2 linked regions of the Drosophila melanogaster genome follow. The protein of the gene in region 1 interacts with the protein of each later gene in a pairwise test. Each region holds a gene or a part of one and is shown in the gene's direction. Other genes may lie near its edges. The genes, in order: Gem4b and CG8366.

The links.
Region 2: the proteins of Gem4b (region 1) and CG8366 interact in a two-hybrid assay, tested with the Drosophila melanogaster proteins (one large-scale study listed by BioGRID).

What each region holds. Positions count from the first base shown.
Region 1 is NC_004354.4:3,939,046-3,945,078, forward strand, and holds Gem4b (gemin 4b), read left to right. Parts: upstream 1-1,801; 5' UTR 1,802-2,014; coding exon 2,015-2,132; intron 2,133-2,185; coding exon 2,186-4,348; intron 4,349-4,407; coding exon 4,408-4,862; 3' UTR 4,863-5,220; downstream 5,221-6,033. Other genes in the region: Glos (gaulos), read left to right, coding at 1-110, 170-624. UniProt on the Drosophila melanogaster protein: Component of the survival motor neuron (SMN) complex that catalyzes the assembly of small nuclear ribonucleoproteins (snRNPs), the building blocks of the spliceosome, and thereby plays an important role in the splicing of cellular pre-mRNAs.
Region 2 is NT_033778.4:15,953,108-15,957,260, forward strand, and holds CG8366 (uncharacterized protein), read left to right. Parts: upstream 1-1,932; 5' UTR 1,933-2,010; coding exon 2,011-2,147; intron 2,148-2,215; coding exon 2,216-2,409; intron 2,410-2,466; coding exon 2,467-3,503; 3' UTR 3,504-3,529; downstream 3,530-4,153. Other genes in the region: Strn-Mlck (Stretchin-Mlck), read right to left, coding at 1-113, 319-730, 795-1,666, 1,726-1,771, 3,532-3,700.

The sequences.
Region 1 (6,033 bases):
TGCCCTACGCTGGGACTTGGCCACCTTTGAAGATTTCCGGGTGGATAATTTAGAACTGGCGGTGTGGTATTGGCAGGACGGTCTGTCTCATCTGACATTCCTAGGCACTGGTGCGCTCTTATAAATGTAAGTCCAAGACGAAAGCCTACTAATTATTGCTCTTTCACAGAATTCCGCCAGAGGATCTTAAACCAAGTGAGCAAATTGAAGCACAAGGACTTTTGGATCATCTACCTTAAAGAAGACACCTTAAAGGACACACGCTCCTTTCTCAAATTGCTAACTCAGTCCAGTGCACAGGAGGCTAACGATCTCTTCAACAAGCTCCTTAAAAAAAGGGCCGATTGTGCTGTTATGGGCGATCTTAGCGATGCAGTGGTCAAGGTGAACAGCGAGTCCGCTTTCATGGCCTTTAGATTCCTATTTCGAGAATATTTGATCGCCTTCCGGAGCCACGCCAAACACAATAAGACCATCACGAAGCGCCAGCATTGGGATCATTTGATGGCCGTTGTGGCCAAGGCTCCATTCTCCATTCGCAACGAGATTATGGAGCTAGCTAGTAAAGCCTTCGCTGTGCGATTCGGCATAAATATCCAGGAACAGCAGGCGGCCAAGTGTTAAGGAGATGCTGTTAGAAGTGTAATTTTCTTAAGCCAAATCGAAACACCGCCGCTAATCGACTAAAGACGTACATATATAATAATCATAACGCTAGGATGATGTTCAATCCAGATATCAGATTATTTTACAATTTTGTATGTCCTTTAAAAGGATGACTGTATGCACATAACATATGTACTACTGCCTTGCAAATTTTTTGTCTATTTAAAAAATACTTTGGCAAGCAAGTGAAGTTATTCAGATGAAAACTATTGCAATTTTGCATGTTCTTCATATTATTCGTATAATTATGTATTATATACATACATACATATATAAAATACAAAACGCTATGATCGAACATCAGAATAATATGTGTGAGGAGTCTACGTCCCCACAAATCTGGGTGCAGGGGAGCGGCCTTGGACGCCAGGAAAGCGGAGAGACTGTGAACTAACGGTACCGCGCTGGACCTTGGACTCGAGCCTGCCAAGGGCACGGAGGTCGAACAGTAACGGTGCGGACTTTGGACACGCACAAGAGGACACACATTGTGAACTAACGGCAAATTAGTTGGACGCGCAAAGGGGAAAATAACGGGATCCCCGCGGCCTATAAAGGAACGGCGCAAGTGCAGCTTGGGGCAGTCAGTCACAACACGCGAGGAGCCACACGTACGCGAGGATAGTCGAGGAGAGTACGGGCGCGAGTCGAGCCGTCAGGAGGCGGCCGCGCAATCGGAACGGCGTCTAAAGAAGAGAGACAGTGCGTTAGAACGCGCGGATACTACCATCAAGTTTTTTGTCTATTAAATAAATACTTTGGCAAGCTTGAAATTATTGTAATTTAGCATGTTCTTATTATTATTCGTATTCTTATGTACGAATTCCAAATCTATCTCTCGATTTCAAACTCAAGTGCCGCATGCGAATCGCATTATTTTAAATACTTTTGCTAAATAGGACCACTGTTTAAAAAACTGCAGTTGACTTTGGAGAAGTCGCAATATTTATAATGTCAATTATTAATTATCGAATAAAACATTACAATAATAATACAAATAATTAATTATCGAATAATACATTACAATACTTTATAAAATATCTTCATTTAATTTTCAGCTGAGCAAAATACAAAATATCATATGAAAATGTTTATAAATAAAGTTAAAGTTAAATCATAGCATGCAGTGGACAAGTCATATTAGTATCTATCTACATCAGAGAGTCTATTACAAAGCGAAATTTTTTGTTGTAGGGACATTTTCATTTTCAAAAAATATTCCTTGCACGCAAGATAATCGGTACGCACCGGTAAACTATCGATTTTCGATAGTCATCTGACAGAAGACGCACATAAAATTGAATTCCTTCGGAAGAGTTTTGACGAAACGCGAAATTTCGGCAGCACGATGATAACTGCTGAGAAGCACCCGCTGGACAATTGCCAGTTGTTTGTCCAGCTGAAGAAAATATTCCATGACAACAACGAACAGGCCAAGTGTCTGAAAGATATGATTTACTGGAGTGGTAAGTGAAGTACCAGAGGTTAGTGCCCAAATATGAACATTGTTTGTTCTCAGGAAACGATGAGCACATTGAGAAGATCTGCGACCAAGTGACGGACCTGCTGGAGGAGCACGATCTAATCATACAGCCGCCAGACACAATGGATCCTTTTGCTATGAATCAACTGCGTGGACTACTGGTGTACCTGGTGCTGAACACCGCACACGACTATTTCTTGTGCAAATCGCAGTGGAGCGCCAATGTCATGCATTTGTGTAACCAGCTTCCGCCTATCCCACTGTTCTTGACCATCGCAATAGCCGTTAACTGCTGTCTCATGGAGCCGCTGGAGGAATTCCTTGCTTGTGGACCCCGCTGGCTGACCATCCAGTATTTTGAGGCATTCAATGAGGCTCTGTCGGTCATTAATTCAGATTGCGTGGAAACACTACCGCTGCTCTCTGCCGCCCTCAGAGCAGCCGGTCGCGCAATTGTCAACTGCAATTTGCCCGCAGAAAATAAGCAACTGCTGCGCCAGATAGCCTGCATGGAACATCGTCATATCTTGGACTCTAAACAGCGCCTCCATACGCTGCCGCGTCCATCCACTCGAAAGATTTACCTGGCCAAGGCTATGGATCACCTTATAGAAGTCCTTTTGTATACCCTCAATGATCCATTAAAGCGGGAGAAACCAAATTGCTTCGCCGTCTACAGCCAAATAACCGAGGACATCAGTGACAGCAACTCAAGCGATCCCATGCCTGATCTGCGGCATTTCGCCCAAATACTGCTAGACGTTCTGCAGCGTATCTTTCAGCTCGTTAGCGTAGACACGTATATGTATTGGCATGAAATGAAATCGAAAAGTGCTTTGTATAACTGCCAGGAGCTAATCTGTAGACAGACGGCAGAATTGCTTAAAGTACTCCAATCAGATAAGTTGCTCGGAGAGCATCCGGTTTGCAAGCAGATGCAGAGCTTTGCGGATGCAGCAAAAACATTGGAGCAGCGCGTTGCCGAGATGAGAATGGGTGAACTCTTAGTCTTTCTCGATTCCGGTATGGCCACCGATGAGGAGTTGCTCGCCGGGCTGGACAATCTCTTTAGCCGCTTCATAGCCTTTGGTAACGATGAGTGCGTGGAAACGATGGCAAATCATTTAATTATGCTCACCAAGAAACATGCCCAGATAATACTCAGTTTCCTGGGTCAGGTGGTGGAGTCCGAAATGGTGGTCGAGGACGAGGGCATATCCGTTACGGAAGTAAATCAGGGGGATGACGAGGACGAGACCTCGTCCAACGATGATTACGAAGAGCTGCTAAGCCTAGTACTGCGTCCCTTATTTATGCAATTAAATGTCGAGGACAAGATGGAAGTACTGCTATTGCGCGATGAGCAAAACGTTACCCAAGGATTTAATTTCAAGGCTCCCGATCATCGGGAGCGTCGCATACGCTTCTTTAATCAATTGGATTATAATAAGCGCTTCCCGATAACCAAATTTCTAGTACTGTGCTTTGAGAACGCAAGACAGACCTGGATTGATTTCTCCCACTTGGGCGTGACGCATACTCGCTTCTCGAAGCTATTCTGGCACATAGCTCAGTCTTGTCCCAAGCATGCTGCTTTTCATATTTCCGCCTGTGCCGATAACATCTTGGTGAACGAGCAACTACTTCAAAAGCCGTATGCCTTGCAGTTTACACTCTACCTATATGGCCACCGACAGATCCTCAACGGTCTCTACACGTCAGCGCGACAACTGTGCGTTAGTTTGAAAGACGGACGGTGTCCCTACGGAGAGGATGAGCTTAGGCAGGCGCAAAATAGGTTCCTAGACGCGTGTGCCTACGGTTTGGCCAAGTTTATAGAGCCCATGAACTTGCCCAGCTTGCAGTTAATCTTGAAACTGCTCAAGCAGATTAGTCTGGGTGAAAGCAATCTAATCACCCGAGGCACTGCAGAGTTAAATGCACTCGAAAAGGAGCACCCGAAATTGGAGAACGGAGACGATGCACCAGCTGTCAAGGTGGCCAAGCACTACACATATCTGAATGCCAGCTTGCCAGAGTGGCGTTTGAAACACTGGAAGCTGATCTCGCATGTCATGAAAACCATTGATGCCCTACGCTGGGACTTGGCCACCTTTGAAGATTTCCGGGTGGATAATTTAGAACTGGCGGTGTGGTATTGGCAGGACGGTCTGTCTCATCTGACATTCCTAGGCACTGGTGCGCTCTTATAAATGTAAGTCCAAGACGAAAGCCTACTAATTATTGCTCTTTCACAGAATGCCGCCAGAGGATCTTGAACCAAGTGAACAGTTTAAAGCACAAGGGCTTTTGGCTCATCTACCTTAAAGAAGACACCTTAAAGGACACACGCTCCTTTCTCAAATTGCTAACTCAGTCCAGTGCACAGGAGGCTAACGATCTCTTCAACAAGCTCCTTAAAAAAAGGGCCGATTGTGCTGTTATGGGCGATCTTAGCGATGCAGTGGTCAAGGTGAACAGCGAGTCCGCTTTCATGGCCTTTAGATTCCTATTTCGAGAATATTTGATCGCCTTCCGGAGCCACGCCAAACACAATAAGACCATCACGAAGCGCCAGCATTGGGATCATTTGATGGCCGTTGTGGCCAAGGCTCCATTCTCCATTCGCAACGAGATTATGAAGCTAGCTAGTAAAGCCTTCGCTGTGCGATTCGGCATAAATATCCAGGAACAGCAGGCGGCCAAGTGTTAAGGAGATGCTGTTAGAAGTGTAATTTTCTTAAGCCAAATCGAAATTCCGCCGCTTGTCCAACACTTTAATTCTTAGGCAGTCAGATCTCTATATGACTAAAAACATATATAATATTCATAACGCTAGGATTGAACATCAGAATAATTTGATATCAGATTATTTTACAACTTTGTATGTCCTTTAAAAGGGCGACTGTATGCACATAACAAATGTACCACTACCATGCAAATTTTTTGTCTTACTAAAAATACTTTGGCAAGCAAGTGAAGTTATTCAGCTGAAAATTAATAAAATTTTGCATGTTCTTTTTTTTTCGTATTATTATGTATTATATATATAATATACAAAACGCTATGATTGAACATCAGAATAATTTGATATCAGGTTATTTTACAACTTTGTGTGTCCTTAAGGCCGACTATATTTACATAAAATATGTAATACTACCATCAAATACAAATTTGTGTTCTATTAAATAAATGCTTTGGCAAGCTTAAAATTATTGTAATTTTGCATGTTCTTATTTTTATTCGTATTTTTATGTATTACTTCGACTGCTTTGCTTCCTGTTGCAAAATTGTAACTTAAAACTAGGAAAATTTATTTTAATACATTTTTAAATTTCATGTACTCGTTATGTTATAAATTTAACTAATTTATATTCTGTCAAAAGCTGAATGGCATTATTCAGGGAAAGGAAAATTTTGGTGCAAATTGTTATTAATAACATTTTCAAATTACCTAAATAAAAAAAAAAATAGAAAAAATATCTTGTCTTAAAAAACACTATATATATTTTACAAGGTAATTTAACGACCAATGCTTGACAAGTATCGAAAAGATTTCAAACTCAAATGCCGCATGCGAATCGCATTATTTTAAATACATTTGCTAAATAGGACCACTGTTTAAAAAACTGCAGTTGACTTTGGAGAAGTCGCAATATTTATAATGTCAATTATTAATTATCGAATAAAACATTACAATAATAATACAAATAATTAATTATCGAATAATACATTACAATACTTTATAAAATATCTTCATTTAATTTTCAGCTGAGCAAAATACAAAATATCATATGAAAATGTTTATAAATAAAGTTAAAGTTAAATCATAGCAAGCAGTGGACAAGTCATATTAGTATCTATCTACATCAGAGAGTCTATTA
Region 2 (4,153 bases), on another chromosome or scaffold:
AGGTGGAGTCGTTGATGTCGCTGGTAAACACCTGACAGCTGTAGATGCCGGAGTCAATGTCGAAGGCGTCGTTGATTCGCAGGCAGAGGCGTCCATTGCCGTGATCAATGTAACTGCAGTGAGCAATGAAAGTGCCATAAGTATGTGGATAGTTCGAAACAAAGGGAAACCATTCGCTTTTATTATTCAATCCAAGCTAATCGCTGGAAATTGGGTGCTTATAAAAAACTGAGCAATTTAACAATGTTTTTATAACTAATTATGTATTCAAGTTATTACAACTCAATATATTTCAATGAACTAAAGATTTATACTCACTTGAACTCATCGCTGTCTGGCAGAATCTCGCCATTTCGCAACCAAACGTAGCTGTAGGGTTCATCGCATTCGATGGAGCAGCACAGATCGATCACCTCGCCCTCCAGCGATTTAGTAATCTCGGGCAGTCGTTCCGTGATGACAGCACGACGCCTGCGAATCTCCGTATTCGAGTCGTGGAAGGTGACGGTGGTGGAAGTGATGAGGGGATCGTGGTCGCCGCTTATGATGCAGGTGTACTGGCCTTCATCCTCGCGCGTCACATTGTCCACTATGAGCAGGGCCATCGAGTCCTGCAGCAGGATGTGAACTCGTTCCGAGGCCTCGAGCTCCACGTCGTTGTGATAGAATCTCACCGAGGGCACCGACGAACCCCGATAGCCACTTGCCAGAGCCATGCGTCCGCCAATTGCTGTGGGTGGCATGGTATCAATTGAAATAGTTAAGCTGTAAATTGGGCAAGGAGCAGCACCCACCTGTGGATGGACCCATGATGCGCCTGTACAAGTGGGCATTACGGCGGGAGGAGGAGGCACGCACGCTGCGCACCGAAGGCGACTTGGAGTAGCGGGAGCTGCGGATGACGTCCAAGCGAGCGGTGGCCTCAATACGACCGAAATCGTTCTCCAGCGTGACGCGATACAGGCCGGCATCGTCGAAGGTCACCTCATCGATCTCTATGATGCGAAGGTCATCGATTTCCTTGACGGCAATGCGCGGCGTGGGTGTCACAATCAGGCCATCCTTGTCCCATGTCGCCCACGGTGTGGGATGTCCGGAGATGGCGCACTGGAAGCGCACACTGTCGCCCTCCTCGACGACGCGATTGTAGGGAATGGCGAGAAACTTTGGCGCCGTGATGGCATTCCGGGCATCACTACGCCTGCGTTCCGCCACGCCGGACAGATCGATGCTGCTGGTGCGGTACGATAGGCGCAGGGGAGAGAAACTTCTGGCGGGCGTGGATCTCGGCGTAGAACGGGGCGTGGAGTGGGCGGAGAGCAGGCCACTGGGACGCGCTAGCTGGCGGCTGAGCATATTCTCCTTCTCCTCGGGCACATCCACTATAATGCAGGCGGAAGAGAGACTGCGACCCACCGAGTTCTTGGCCACGCACGTGTACTCGCCCTCATCCTCTGGATATACGCGCGGTATGCTCAGCGTTGCCTTGGTTCCATCGAAAGACATCACGTAGTCCCGATCGCTGGGCATAACATGCCCATCCTTTTCCCAGATGATGAACGGCTCCGGATCGGCCTCAACGTGACATTCCAGCGATATCGCATCCCCATCGCAACAGCGGAGGTTTCGCAAGTTGCGAACGAATCGGGGAAGGGTCTCGATGTTGCTGATTAATTGTTAAAGCTTGTTAATGACAACATATCTTGATAATAAGCTTGAACTTACCCATGTCTCGTGTGCACTTTATCCATGCGGCTTTTGTTGAGTATATCTATTGAAAAAAAGATATTATGCATTAGCACTTTGACTTAGTAAAAAAATATTGCATTTCGAAATTGGCGCCCATTAAACTGCTTGCCAAGCAGTGGTGATTAGTGTCTTGGCTATTTTTGTCAGATTCTTGCAAGAGTGCGAATATATCGATAATCGATAGCAGCTGTGGCCCAATGTTTATTTTTAGCACACCATCTAATTTTCTACTTCTTGTACTCAAATTTTGGTTAAAACAAAATGAGGGGCATGATAATTGTGCCCATGGACCTGGAACCCGGCTTCCGCAAAGCAGACATACACAATATACCCGCTTTGAACAGCGGAATGGTGTACAATTTTTGTCTATCCGGCGCATCTGAGAAATCAAAACAAATGTGAGTGCCATCCCGTTCGCACATATACCTACTGTGTATTCTATTAAAAATTGAATTTTTGCCAACAGACCAACGAATAGATGTGATCTCCTCACGGATTACGTCCAGGTGCGCAGACATGGCGACGTGTGCGAACTCAAGGGACTCGTGTTTTCTGCCACCGACTTCGCCAACACGGTAACTCACGCCAATGTATCGCTTAAGATCGTCGAAAGTGCTCAGATGATCATGGACGGTCAATGCAGCCTGTGCACTGCAGCATGTGAGAATGACTCCATTTGCCACTAATGTCTAGTTCCTAATCTTTAGTACATTACAGGTACTTGTGCCCACATCGTGGCCTTCACCTTCTGGCTGCTAAACAAGAGCACAGATCGAAATCCCTCGGCTGTGGTGGAGTTTTGGGGCCACGAGTTGGAAAATCTGGTGCAACCGGAGCCCACAACTGCTACTCGAATATGTGATATAATTCCCAAGGATGATGTGCGAATGGAAAGCGAACTAAACTCGAAAGAACTTAGCGCCAGCGAGGGAGAGGCTTTCCTAGTGACCATTCTGAATGAACTGGCCGACTGTGGCAGGGACTCGGCGCTCTACCGGCAATGTGTGGAGACCACCGATGAGTTCGAGCCCATGTTCGTACACCATGTGCTGCTCCGAGCAAATGAGTACAATGTCGTCGATCCGTCCAGCTATGTGCAACACATGGAGGCACAGGCACATACGGGTATTATCGAAAGTCTGTACGAGGCAACGCGAAGCAAATACAAATCCCGATTGTGGGTGGAGGTACAGTATATGCGCATCCGTTGCTCCATGATGCACATGATCATAAGCCGCAAAACCTCTGATGATGACGATCAAATCTTCAATATGATGTTTTGCAGAGGACGTGACAAGAATAACGAGGATCGGGTGCAGCAGAAGGAGCACAAGCGCTTCATATTGAAACAGACTGAGAAGCTGGAGAACAAGAACTACTTAGAATGCGGTCTGATCCTGCACGAGAACTTCCCCTTCCTGTGCGCCGCCCCTGATGGCATCACGGACGATCACATTGTCGAAATCAAATCACCAAAGACTGACGAGGACTTCGAGAAGTACCTCGAGGCACGCGAATCTATTGCACCCAAGTACATGGCCCAAATACAAATCCAGATGTTTGCGGCGAATGTTAAAAAGGCGCTCTACTGCGTGCTAAGTCCCACGTTCGAGAGCAACGGAGCACTACACTACGTTTGGGTACAAGCGGATCCGGAATTCGTTAGCAGTTTGCTGAGCATGGCTGAAGACTTCTGGCGGGACGTTGTCTTTCCCCGCCTATTGAATATCTACCCCCAGTGCCCAGGTCAATAAATACATACACATTCACTGTGCTGCTTACCTTTGGCGAATATTTGTAGCGATATTACAGCCTTGGCCTCGCCATGGCAATTGCTGGCTATCACGGAATAGGTGCCGGTGAAATCCAATTTGGCGCTGGGTATCTCCAGCCTGTACTCGGGTCCGTCTCCAATTCGCCGGAAGTGTGGCGCGTCCTTGTAGTACTCCGGCTGCGGGCGAAAGAAAATGTTCGGCGATCAGTGGGTCGAATTGCTCAAGGTCACGTCGCGATGTGCTTGGACTATAAGGACTTGTTGTGCGGCTGTCGCAGATCATGAATCACGACTGTCTTTATACAAATGTCGATGCCGTTGACGCTGACTCGACCGACGTTGTTATTATTGTGTTAAGCTTATGGCCATATAAGCACAAAATTCAGTTTCGAGACTGTCGAATAGGAAAACTGGTAATGGGTATACGTTGCCCACCCTGACCTCCTACTCCTCCTGCCTGCCTGCCTGCCTGCTCGCTCGCTTCCTTGGTCGACTTCGTGCGCGACAGTGGCTAATAATATTTTTTTGTGTATTTTTTTCCTTTTTGGCTCGCGTAATTGTTTGTTGTGCGAACAAGCCTGTTATTTGATATGGGTTGAACTTGAATTAGCGTTTGACAGCGAATCGGAT